Oryzias latipes: one gene and its partner. The protein of the gene in region 2 purifies or fractionates together with the protein of the main gene of each other region. This does not show direct contact. Links are inferred from orthologs where the notes say so. Each region holds a gene or a part of one and is shown on either strand. Other genes may lie near its edges.

Region 1 (5,844 bases), on a different chromosome or scaffold from region 2:
CTTAATGTAACACATTACACGGAGAACCTGTGTTTTTTTCACAATAAAACAAAAGTTTATTGCTTAAAAAAAGAAAAAAAAGCTCCACAAAAATGACAGTGACCATAAGGATTTGTCAAATCTACCAGATCATCATCATCACAAATAACATTTAGCAGTAAAGATGGTGAAATGTTGCACCGTCCACAGTTAGATTATTACTAACAAAAGCCAAAAATAAAAATGTTTTATGTAAAATAATAAGGTTTTTTGACATTTACGCCATATTCAGAGAGGGCAGGAGTCAGGTCCTCCATCGTCAATGTGTACTTCTTGTCCTATAAATATGATCAATAAAAAGGTTATATTTAATAACTGAATTTTCTAAAAGAATGGATTAGAAAAAATCATTACAATACAAATTAAAAACTGACCACCACTCACCTTCGTCTTATTTCTGGAGCTTCCAGAGGCTGTTCCCTTCATTTTACAGTACTGCAGGGCATCATTGGCAATGTCAGAGATAAACTTTTGAGAGGCAAGGGAGATCAAACGGATTCTGCAAATATCCAAAAGAGAGTTATAAGTGAGTCTTCACATAGGGTTGAAATATTTGTGAACCCATAGAGTGGAGCATGACTAAACCTCACATTAAACTGTACAAAAAAAATTAAGCAACAAGAAATAAAACAACCTGTGAAGGATATGTACCGTAATTTCCGGACTATAGAGCGCACCTGATTATAAGCGGCACCCATTACATTTTTAAAGGATAAACCATTTCGTACATACATAAGCCGCACCAGTCTATAAGCCGCATGTGCCCACATTGAAACATGCGTCGTAGAATGAGGATGTGTATGTGCTGAAACCACGAGCGGCGTGTGTAAGAAAGAGGAAGGAGCGCGTACAGCGGAGGAAGGGGAGAGCTAGTGCAGCGCAAGAGGGAGGCTCTCACTCCTGCTCTGTTCGGGCTCCTTCCTCTTACACACACAGTGCGCTGACACACATACTCATTCTACAACACCTATGTAGTGAGTTTATTAGTTAGATAGTTAGTAGTTAGTGTTATTTTTTAATTAAGAATACTGCGTTGTAGTAGGTATTCATTAGCGACGTGGCCGCCAGGGAGATTTTGTGTTTGTTTGTTTGTTTTGTTGTTGTTGTTTTTTTTTTTTGGGGGGGGGGGGGGGGGGGTAAACCGCGACACAGCAACTCCTGCTGCTTCATCACTGCGGTGATCAAAAATCCCACACCGTCACAGCTGTTTTCCAAACAGTGCCTGTGACGCGGCAGGAACACGGCAGCAATATGGTTGTAACAGCACTAACAGAGCTGGTTAAAAAAAAACTACCGGTGAAAGTCACTGAGAGCAGCAGTAACTTATAGGCACACGCCTCCTGTGCTCTGAAACCATTGAGGTCTTCCTCCTCAGTGTCGGATTGGAATAGCATCAGATAGACTTCGCTACACACTCTCTCTGTGTCTCCTTCATTGTCAGTTTGTCCCTCTCATCCTGAGGCAAATTCTCTCCTGTGTTTGCGCTGTCCTCTCCGTCACGCAGCAGACCGGCTTCTCCAAACCCGTTGGTGATGGTATTTTTCACACTGCTTTTAACGATTGCTTTTAACTTGAAAGCTGCGTCATATGCATTTCGTCTTGCATTTTCCATGATGAGGGTCTGTTCGTGCTATTCATTCACAAAGCAGGAATTTACATAAAACTTGCGTCTTTCCTCAAAACATATACCACATTCCCCCTGACTCGCTCCTCCACCCGTTTTGCTCGAGTGGCCGTTAAAAAAAAACGCATGAAAATAAAATAATAAGAAAAAAATGCATAAATTAGAAGCATCATTGAATAAGAATCAGGGTTGAAAGCGTGTGACAAAAGTAGCGGTTTATAATCCGGAAATTATGGGTAATTGTAATACTATAATTGAACCTGCATGTTTAAGCAACACATACACAGTTAAGCATTACACAAGCTCTCTATGCATTTAAATCTAGTTTTTTAGCTGCATATTTAGGATGTATATTTGTTTCTCTCAGAATTCCAGATAAATTCATAAACAAATCAACTCAATCTTTATTTTTAAAAAGTATTTATCGTTCTTCGAGCAGCTCAAAGCACTTTACAATTAATTCCAATTCAAATAAACCCAACCAAATCCCTTTGCTTCCTCTGTTGACAAACACATTAAACCCCAAGCATAACTAATACAGGCATGAAAACATGACTGTTATTGAACACAGATCAGCTAGTATGTAATTTCTTTTTAGCTTTGCACAAAATTAAAAATCTGATTATCTTTAGAATTAATCATGCTACAACTTAGCAGATCACTACTTAAGCATTGATATCACACAAAATATGGACATATTTCTAGTTTCAATCACTTACATTCTTGGGTCAGAAGCCTCAAATCCAGCTCGGTTCAGATAATATCCCGTAACTGCATCAGGAATCTGCAAAAGAAATGGAAAAATACACGAGAGAGACTAAATAATCTAAATATTTTTACATGTAGTTACCCTGCCAGTACGACGTAAACAAAAATACAGCAGTTATCTCGTTTGAGCCAAGGCATCCCCATCACTAACTCAAAGGTAAGGGTGATAAATTTACCGTAGGAGTGTAATCCTCCAGCTGCATGAGGAAATCAGCCAGAGGTGTGGTGGAGACAGCAGGTTTCACATCCCCATTGGTTATGCCAGCGGGAACGTAGACTCCATTGGAGACTGATGAGTCTGCTGATGGAGTTGCCGGGGCTGCTGAAGCTGCAGCTGCAAAGTTGTAATTATCACTTAAATCAAATGTACTTATATTTATATACACACACAACACTTTTTGGGGCGGAGCTTAACTAAAAAATTTAGTTTTATTTTTTTAGCAGAACGAAATGTAAGAAATGCTTAACAGATAAAGAAAAACGTTTGTCGGACAATCCTCCAAATATGCATAAAAGACTCAGGAATGCATCAGTATGTGAATCAAATTGACTTAACTAGCAAAACCACAAATGTCAGATCATCAGATGGGGCATCGTCGTAGCACAACATTGTTAGCACAGATCTTGTTGACCAAAATTATGTTTCGTTACCATTGTTTGTGACCGAAGGAATGCTGCTGACGTTGGTTGTTGCATTGTCATTGGCAATGCAATTACTTGAAGCTGAAGACGTCGTAGACACAACTCCTGTTGTAACAGACGGATTTACGTTGTCTACATTCATGTTTATATTAGCTAAGCGCTAACCTCAAAAAGCTAACTCAGACAGATGTATGGAAATTTGTATCAAAATTTCTATATGGTGCTATATAGCAACACGGCCAGGCGTTTAAAGAGGTACTTTTGTTGATTTAAGAAACTTTTTTTGACTACGAGAACACTAAACACTACAGAAAACTATCAGTTGTTGTTTTTTTATCGTTGCTGTGAAAGCTTAGCCTGTGCTACAGCCGCTGACGTCATGTGACCGCGACAATACGTAGGATTTGATGACGTAAGCCGTATGAACCAACGGCTGGGGTTGCGTTTGAGATTATTTGATAATGCAACAACAGCAACCTCAACAGCGTTTGTAAACGTTCATAGTTTAGCTGTTTTACGATTGAGAAATATTTACAGTTGAACGACAGTTAGAAGATTAAGTCAGATTTAATAACCACGACCGGTGACAAAAAAAGTGCAGCCTTAAAAATAGTGAGATACATGTTAAGATACATTTTAGGTAACATATTAAACTGATTTAACTGGCAATGTGTTATGAACAAAGCACCTGTACTTTTTACGCAGGATGATTTGAATATTAAGGACCTTACCATTGCTAACGTTTATCTTTTTCTTTTTTTTTTTCACAACATAACGCGTTTATGACAGGAAAATTGTAGCTGTTTACGAGGGACATTGAACGCAGCAGATGGACAGCGACCTGACTGGCGCGTGGAGGCTGCAACTATTTACAAAGAAGTAGGCGTTGTGTGACTTTTATCGTCTTTGTGAAGAACATGTTTACTCATTGACCTCCGATGACTTTGCAGTTTCGTCTAGACAAAGCGCGGAGGCAAACAAAAAAGATCCAGCAGGTTTTGATAGTCGTGCTGGAAAAATTAGGTAGACATAACATCCTTTCGTGAAGTGGCGAATCATGTGGTCTTACCGGAAATTATGATGTGGAAATACGCCTTCTCCTATGTGTTGTTGTGTCTGTAAAATAGGATAGTGATTAATAATGGTTTGATCTTTAATACGTTTCTTTTACTATAGAAAACACTGTGCTGTTCGTAACCGGTGGATCTTCCTAGTCAAATGTTTACCATGTTTGATCTTCAGCTGAGTTTTAAAGAATGACTGCCACGGTCCGAGCAATCGTGATTGGAGCTGGTTGTCGGGGAGCGGGTTACTCCGAGTTTGCATTAATCCATCCTGAACGCATGAAGGTATCCTCTCTTTCTCCTCCTTCCCCTGTTTTTAGAGCCTCATTTGACACATATGACAAATAAAAGCATCATAACCAAATACATTTTTTGTAAACACAATTTTAATTGAACTTTTTCGGATCCCTGGCATTAGAAAAATTAAAGGGTATGACTTAGTATTTTGTGTGCAAAAACTATATATATATATATATATATATATATATATATATATATATATATATATATATATATATACATAATTTTAATTAGCATTTTGTAGGGACAAATTGCCCACAAATTTTCTATTTTAGTAGAGGGAATTGATGACAAAAATGTTCATTTGTGTGCACAAATTGTTATTAAAGTCCTAATTTTTGCCAAATGATGTATATTTATATACAGTTTTACTACCTTCCTAAAAAGCCCAAAGCACTATGCAGTCACAGTCCAATTCACCCATGCATACACACATTCACACACTAAATGTGTGCCAGACACTGGCACCAAACTATAACCACTAGGGGTATTGTGCAGGATTTAGTGTCCTGCCCAAGGCACTTCGATACATGGGTGCCCAGGGCAGGATCCTTCAATCAGATGTCGACTGCTCTACCTCTGCAGCATTTGTGCGCACAAAATACTAAATTATTCAGTCCAGGAAACACGTCTTTTTTTTTTCAATGGCATGTCCCAGGGTCCATGACTTGTATTCCCTCTTTTTATATAAAATGTGCTTGTAACCGGTTATGAGTAACTTTTTTTTCCTTCATTTATTTTAAAATAATTTCTATATCAGGTTGTTGCCGTTGCTGACCCAAGAAAGTTTGCCCGTACCAATCTTCAACAACAACATCAAATAGAGAATGAAAATGTCTTTGAAGGTATGAATTTATAGCATAAAAAAAAACTGAATACAGTGGCCCATAACGCCTTTCTTCTCAGCTGCATTCTGTTTTTAACAGACTGGCAAAGTGTGGCTGATAGAGAGAAGTTTGCAGATGCTGTGTTAATTTGCACACCAGATCGGCTTCACAAGGTAAAAAAAAACAGACCCCGTACATGATTTTTTTTCTACATAAACGGTGTTTTTAATATAAATAGAACTGTGTTTTTTTTTTTTTTAAATCTTTCTAAGGATCCTGCTGTGGCCTTTGCAAAAAAGGGATACCACATTCTTCTGGAGAAACCATTGGCAGTAAGTGTTTGTAGGAAAACTGAAATTATTATTGTTATGATTAAATGTACCGGTACCATGATTCGTTCATGTGTCTTCAGACAACTGCAGAGGACTGCAGGGCAATAGTGGAGGCCTGTATGCAGAGTAATGTGATGCTTTCTGTCGGCCATGTTCTGCGATATGATCCAGTTACCTACAAGATAAAGGTAAATACCCACCGTAGTGACCTGAGTTTACCATGCTCCAGATTTTTTAAACAATGTCTG
Region 2 (5,783 bases):
CTGCACCCCAGGGTAGAAGCAGCCAGTGCTGTGGGAACTAACTTGCAATGAATCGACTCCTCCATCCAATCTACAGCTTCGATCAACCAGACCCGAAATTAGCCAGCTGTCCGGCAATACCTCAGAGGTCAAACCAAAGCAGGGTCAGGCCAACAACCCCATCAGCACCAAGTTATTGTTTGGAAAATGAGTGGACTGGCCAGTACACTGCAGGACCTCATGGATGGCTCAAACCAACAGACCAACAAATCCATTTCTTTTGCTTTCTGAATTCGACCTGTGACCTCTGGACTCGCCCAATGATCTCGCCTCCAGTTGATGGACTCTTCATGTCTTCTTTGAGAGAAGAACAACGATCTCGTTCATGACTAATGGCACTTAATTGCGCCTTCTTTGTTCACTTTTCTGTTTGTATAGAGAGAAAAAAGGATACAACAAAAAAAGAATAAAACCAGGCTTGTAGGGCCCCTCTTATTTTATTGGTTTTCACTTTCCACATGCATCTGAAATGGTTCCATCCAGTCATTGGGTACAAATCAAGGTGCATGTTCTGTCCTGCTCCTGATTGGCTTCCCAAAAAAAGGATGAGGCTTTTACCAGAACTAAAGGGCTGGACAGATGATTTTCTTGATGGATCTCTGTAGATTGATTGATTCTTCTTCCACCAGTTCTATACTATTTGACACGGATGGATCTGTTTGATTTTAAAACCTTGACTTCAGAGGTTTTTCAATCACCTGGTTTCAAACCATATGGAGTACAAAGTACTTTAACATTTTCACCTGTTTGTAATTTTAGCATTAATGTTTTTTGAATCATCGGTGTAAAAATAAGAATTGTCCTCTTGACCAAAATCCCTATTGTATTGACACCATTGCTTTATTTGTAACAGATTCTTCAGGTTTATAATCAATATGTAGATCTTGACAAAACACCGTCCCAATCTGTACATGTTATGTCAGACAATTTGTGATTTTTTTCTTTTTTTTCCTTTTTTCTTTTTCTTTCTGGAGATCTCTGGTATTAAATGCACTGGTTTTGTCTCATCATCTTTATGAATTGAGATGTTCTCCAGCGTTCACCACATTTTTTTTGTTCTTAATTTTCACATCAGTGAGGCATCAGCTTTTAAACTTTTTTTGAGGGTGGTGGTGGAGGGGGGTCATCCATCCTAATATGGCATCAACCATGGAAAATAGCAGCCGTTGCATCTTGAAAGGGAGGGATTGTGGGAAAAACGATTCTACTTTCATGAATAAATGAGGGTAGACATCTTTTCATGTATGATTTTGTTGAAAATAGCTTAAAAATCTTTGAATTTAAAATGAAATTCAGAGGCTTGGAAATGTTTCTACTCATTTTTTCCACCCTAAAACCCTAAAACAATTTCACACATCTTTACAGGTTACCTGATAACCTGTCGGTTATTGCTTTGACATGAGGTATAGTACTTCCAGTGTCAAACATTTCATAATAGACTGGTTTCTTATACAATTTTGATAATCTTTACATGCATAAATCCACATTTTAAAACATTTTTTGTTTATAACTGTCTCACTTTACAGTTGTTGCTGTTAAAATATGTATTTTGTCTTAAAGTTGCACATTTAATGAGAGAAAAGCTGTTTCTTTGAGACATAAAGAAACAATATAGTTCCATAAATAATTGTGTTTAATTTTGAAAGTCTTCATTGAGGTATGCATAGTTGCAATACCTAAAACGGTCACTAGGTGGACCATAGCAGAGGTACTCCAGAAAAACAGCTTCTGCATTACAGTTAACTGGGTCTGTCCTTTTGTGTGTGTGTGCATATATATATATAATGTGGAATGGAAAAATTGATCAGAGTTTGGGAGTAAACATTTTGGTCACACTAGTTAACTAGTGAGCTTTACAAGAGCCTTACTAGTGGAGCTGTAGAAAATGTGTATGCAGCTAGTTAACCAGTTGACTTTTTAGATTGTCACTAACCAACCAGTAAGCACAAGTATTGCCCACTAGTAAACTAGTACATATTTCTAAACATTACTAGTTAACTAGTTCACATTTATGGCATTTCGTTTTAAATAATTGTACTTTTGGCATTACTAGTTGGGCTTAAAACAAGGATGCCGATTTCATTCTAGAACAGCTTGACATAGAGCCTAACATTTGTTACGTGTTGCTTTCATGTTTTTCCACTAGAGGACACTACACCGCTTTACTACAGTACTGGGAACCTGTACATTTAAAATTTCCAGAAATAGCCAAATGATCCTTTCAAATAGTAAATATTTTATTTTAGGTTTTTATTCACTCACGATTAAAACAATATGCTTTTAATGCTGTGTACATTTTTTATTTGAATTTTTAGCTTTTGGTGTTTGTAAAATCCAGCTTTCTGCCCGGAACCTGAAGGCACCAGATGAGATCAACGGCAACAGAGGAAGTCTCCAGCAGCAGCGTGGATATGTCGGACCCGGCAGCGCAGGCCTCACAACCCCGGCTTCCACAGACCCAGTCCGCTGGGTCAGCTGGGTCCGGTAATGCTGCAACAGGCTCCGGGTCGGGCAATAGCGACCCGGCTAGGCCAGGACTCAGCCAGCAACAGCGCGCTAGCCAGAAGAAAGCCCAAGTTCGAGCTTTCCCACGGGCGAAAAAGCTGGAGAAACTTGGCGTGTTCTCCGCATGCAAGGTAGCTAATGTAGCTAGCCAAAGTTCACAACAGAGCCGTCTTGAGATTTATTAGCGTTTATAAATATATGTTTAGAGCACAAAGTAGAAGTGGAGCAACGTCAACTAATTCCCCTCCATCGACTGTTGTAAAAATAATTTATATTCACAAATCTGTAGCCAAACCCATCAGCTAGCGTAATTGATCCGTTAGTCATTGCGGCCGCTGAATAGCCGTTCACTGTTTGTGCTTCGCGTCCTCAGGCCAATGACACATGCAAATGCAACGGATGGAAGAACCCAAACCCACCGTCAGCCACCCGTCTGGATCTGCAGCAGCAAGCAGCCAGCCTGAGCGAGCCCTGCCGCAGCTGTGGACATGCTCTGGGTACCAACTATTCAGCCTCCATTTAAACCACTGACTAAGAACAGGAGATCAGTACCGCTGAAGGGCTCATCACACTGTTTAATGCGTCTGAGGGACGACACTACAGATTCTGCACAAGATACACGGTTTGCCCTTTGCAAACATGCCCATCATTACTGTGATAGTCAGAAAATAAACTAGTTGTTCCTCCTCTGGCTTTGGGATTAATGGCAAAATTTGTGCAGAAACTGCGACTTTAAAGTCTCATTCCAATTATCTTTTGATGTAATTATGATAAGGCAGATTTTGCCTAAATCAAAAAACGTTTGGGTTTCTAGGACATCGTTTCTGAAGAGCCGTGTTCGTGCATTAGAAACCCACCTGAGTTTTGGGTGGAACTGTTGGCACGGACTGAGCCTGCTCGCATTTCCCATCATCCCTTTGTGTCCGCGCTCTCCTTACAGCAGCAATTACAAGCTTTCTCCAACGGCATGTTTTCGTCTGCTCCTGATTTACCACAATTTGAATGAAGAAATACTCAGAAACTCAGTTTAAATCTTAATTTCCTTTATCTATGTCCTCCATTACGAGAAAAAACGCTACAAGAAGATGTTAAAAACACCAAAAACAAGATTTTTACTGGAATTGGTTTTTAAGAATGAACATTGCGGTTAATATTGTGCGTCATGTTTACAGTCAGTATTATTCTGGTGCAATATTCATGCATGTATAGTTGTTTTTCCAAGTTTGAAGATAAAACGTATATATATATAGTGTAGTCTAGAGGTCTGCAACCTTTTAACACTTTTGGTGGATTTCTAACCAACAACAACCCAGTAGGAGCTACAAAGTCTTACTTTAGCCTTTTAAAAAATAAGACATTAGTTGGTATTTTTGTTATTGTTGCTGTTGTTCACTTTTCAACATAGCCCTTCAGGCGTCGCCACATTGAATCAACTTTCACGTTTTTACACCTGATGCCCGTCCTGACACAACCCTGTATTTTTATCTGGGCTGGGGACCGGCACAGGGGGACCCAAACTTGGGCCCCCTTGTTGGCTACATACTTAGACAGCAGCATATATATAATGTTGTTTTTATGCATAAACAAAGAGAAAATATCTGGGTTTGTTTTTAAGAAAAATGAGAAATGGTGTATAACTTTTGGCCGAGATTCATATGACTTCCTTTCAATAAAGGACACCTTAGACAAAGGATCCTCTCAAAGCAGCTAATGTTTTTATTGGTAGTGTAATGTCACACACTTTGTTTTACCATTGGGGGTCCATCTCAGCCAGAAAAGAGTAAATCGAACAAACTAAATTTAAATAAGAGCTAAATAAGTAACCCTTATTGTATATTTCAAACCACAAGGTACCGTACACTTAAAATCAATAAGAATTGTTTTAAAAGAATTAAAAAATCTGCTTTATAATCCAGTGCTTCTAAATTCTGGTTGTGCTTGGTGACCTCCGATTGATTTTCTGTGGTTATCGGCGCTCAACGTGTTTCAGTTTTTAGTTAATGTTTTAGTTTGACTTGTGTTACGTACTGTCTTTGGCCTGTTTGAAAAGAGTTTGAGGTTGTCTATTTTACTTTTCTTTAAGTTACTACTTAATTATTATTTTTTTACTATAAAGTTACTTTTTCAAATGAATTTTTTTTTACTTTAGCCAAAGAGCCACAATGAAGGGGAATAAGAGCCACATGTGGTGATGAGAATGTATTAGCTGCACACATCTTTTTAAAATACTTTTACAATGTTGCTCTAAGTTGAACTGTTTTTGAAAGAGAAGAATCTCTTTAAAAACTAGTACGTCAATTGTTCTGATAGCTCTTTTTTGCAGTATTTACAGATTTCTACGTTTCCCCAAACTTCAGTACAATTTTGAAAATATAAAGAGATCCCAGTAGAACATATGCATTGACTGTACGGTAATTGTTTTGCAGCGGAGCACGTGTCTCATCTGGAGAATGTGTCTGAGGAGGAGATCAACAGGCTGCTGGGCATGGTGGTTGACGTGGAGAACCTGTTCATGTCTGTGCACAAAGAGGAGGACACTGATACCAAACAAGTGTACTTTTACCTCTTCAAGGTAGCGTTATGGTTCTATGGGTTTTGGGGTGTTTTTTTTGAGCGTTTGGGTGGAAGTGGTGAGGGGCAAATTGATGTTTTATTCTCTAATCCAAGGGGGCCAAATATGGCCCAGCAAAGGTCGTCTTTTGGCCCACCAAGCCTGTAGAGGCCACGGAGTGTTCAGTTAAAACCCCTTAACCTCTTCTATTCATTCATGGAGCGACAACGGAAGTAGCAAACGGACAAGAGGCATTTTAAACAAATATGGGAGGAGGATTATTTTTCTCCAGAAATCTCTTCTCAGGCTGTTAGTCTTCTTTGTCAGCAGTCCGTGGCTGTACTTAAAGAGTACAATATACGCCGACCCTACGAGACTAAACACGCAGTTTTATCCAAACACAAAGGTGAGGCGCAAAAGACAAATTCTAGAGAGTTCCAATCTAAACTTTTGTCACAGCAAGCCACCCTCAAGATGCCCTCGGCAGCAGGGGACAGCGCCACGTTGGCTAGCTACGAAGGTTCGGCGTTAAATGCCGAGAGTGGGAGATCGAGAGAGATTCAAAGAAAAATGTTACTAACTTTTAAGTCTCACTAATGTGTGTTGCCTTGAAAAATACTAAATACAAATAAATAACCTAAACTATATTCTTTATTCTCTTCTTTTATTTCATGACTTGCAAAAAAGT

Evidence for each region. The genes of interacting proteins can lie anywhere in the genome.
Region 1: the proteins of kat2a (region 2) and taf10 purify together in Homo sapiens (affinity purification with mass spectrometry; 8 studies listed by BioGRID and IntAct, with this or other methods). This does not show direct contact. The link is inferred for Oryzias latipes from reciprocal best matches to the Homo sapiens genes KAT2A and TAF10.

What each region holds. Positions count from the first base shown.
Region 1 is NC_019865.2:7,761,380-7,767,223, reverse strand, and holds taf10 (transcription initiation factor TFIID subunit 10), read right to left. Parts: upstream 3,466-5,844; 5' UTR 3,216-3,465; coding exon 3,083-3,215; intron 2,766-3,082; coding exon 2,608-2,765; intron 2,448-2,607; coding exon 2,383-2,447; intron 539-2,382; coding exon 424-538; intron 318-423; coding exon 228-317; 3' UTR 33-227; downstream 1-32. Other genes in the region: uncharacterized protein LOC101174996, read left to right, coding at 4,330-4,422, 5,198-5,282, 5,364-5,437, 5,537-5,596, 5,677-5,784. UniProt on the Homo sapiens protein: The TFIID basal transcription factor complex plays a major role in the initiation of RNA polymerase II (Pol II)-dependent transcription.
Region 2 is NC_019866.2:6,156,666-6,162,448, reverse strand, and holds the start of kat2a (histone acetyltransferase KAT2A), read left to right. Parts: upstream 1-2,371; 5' UTR 2,372-2,405; coding exon 2,406-2,675; intron 2,676-2,917; coding exon 2,918-3,041; intron 3,042-4,970; coding exon 4,971-5,116; intron 5,117-5,783. Other genes in the region: rab5c (ras-related protein Rab-5C), read left to right, coding at 1-41. UniProt on the Homo sapiens protein: Protein lysine acyltransferase that can act as a acetyltransferase, glutaryltransferase, succinyltransferase or malonyltransferase, depending on the context.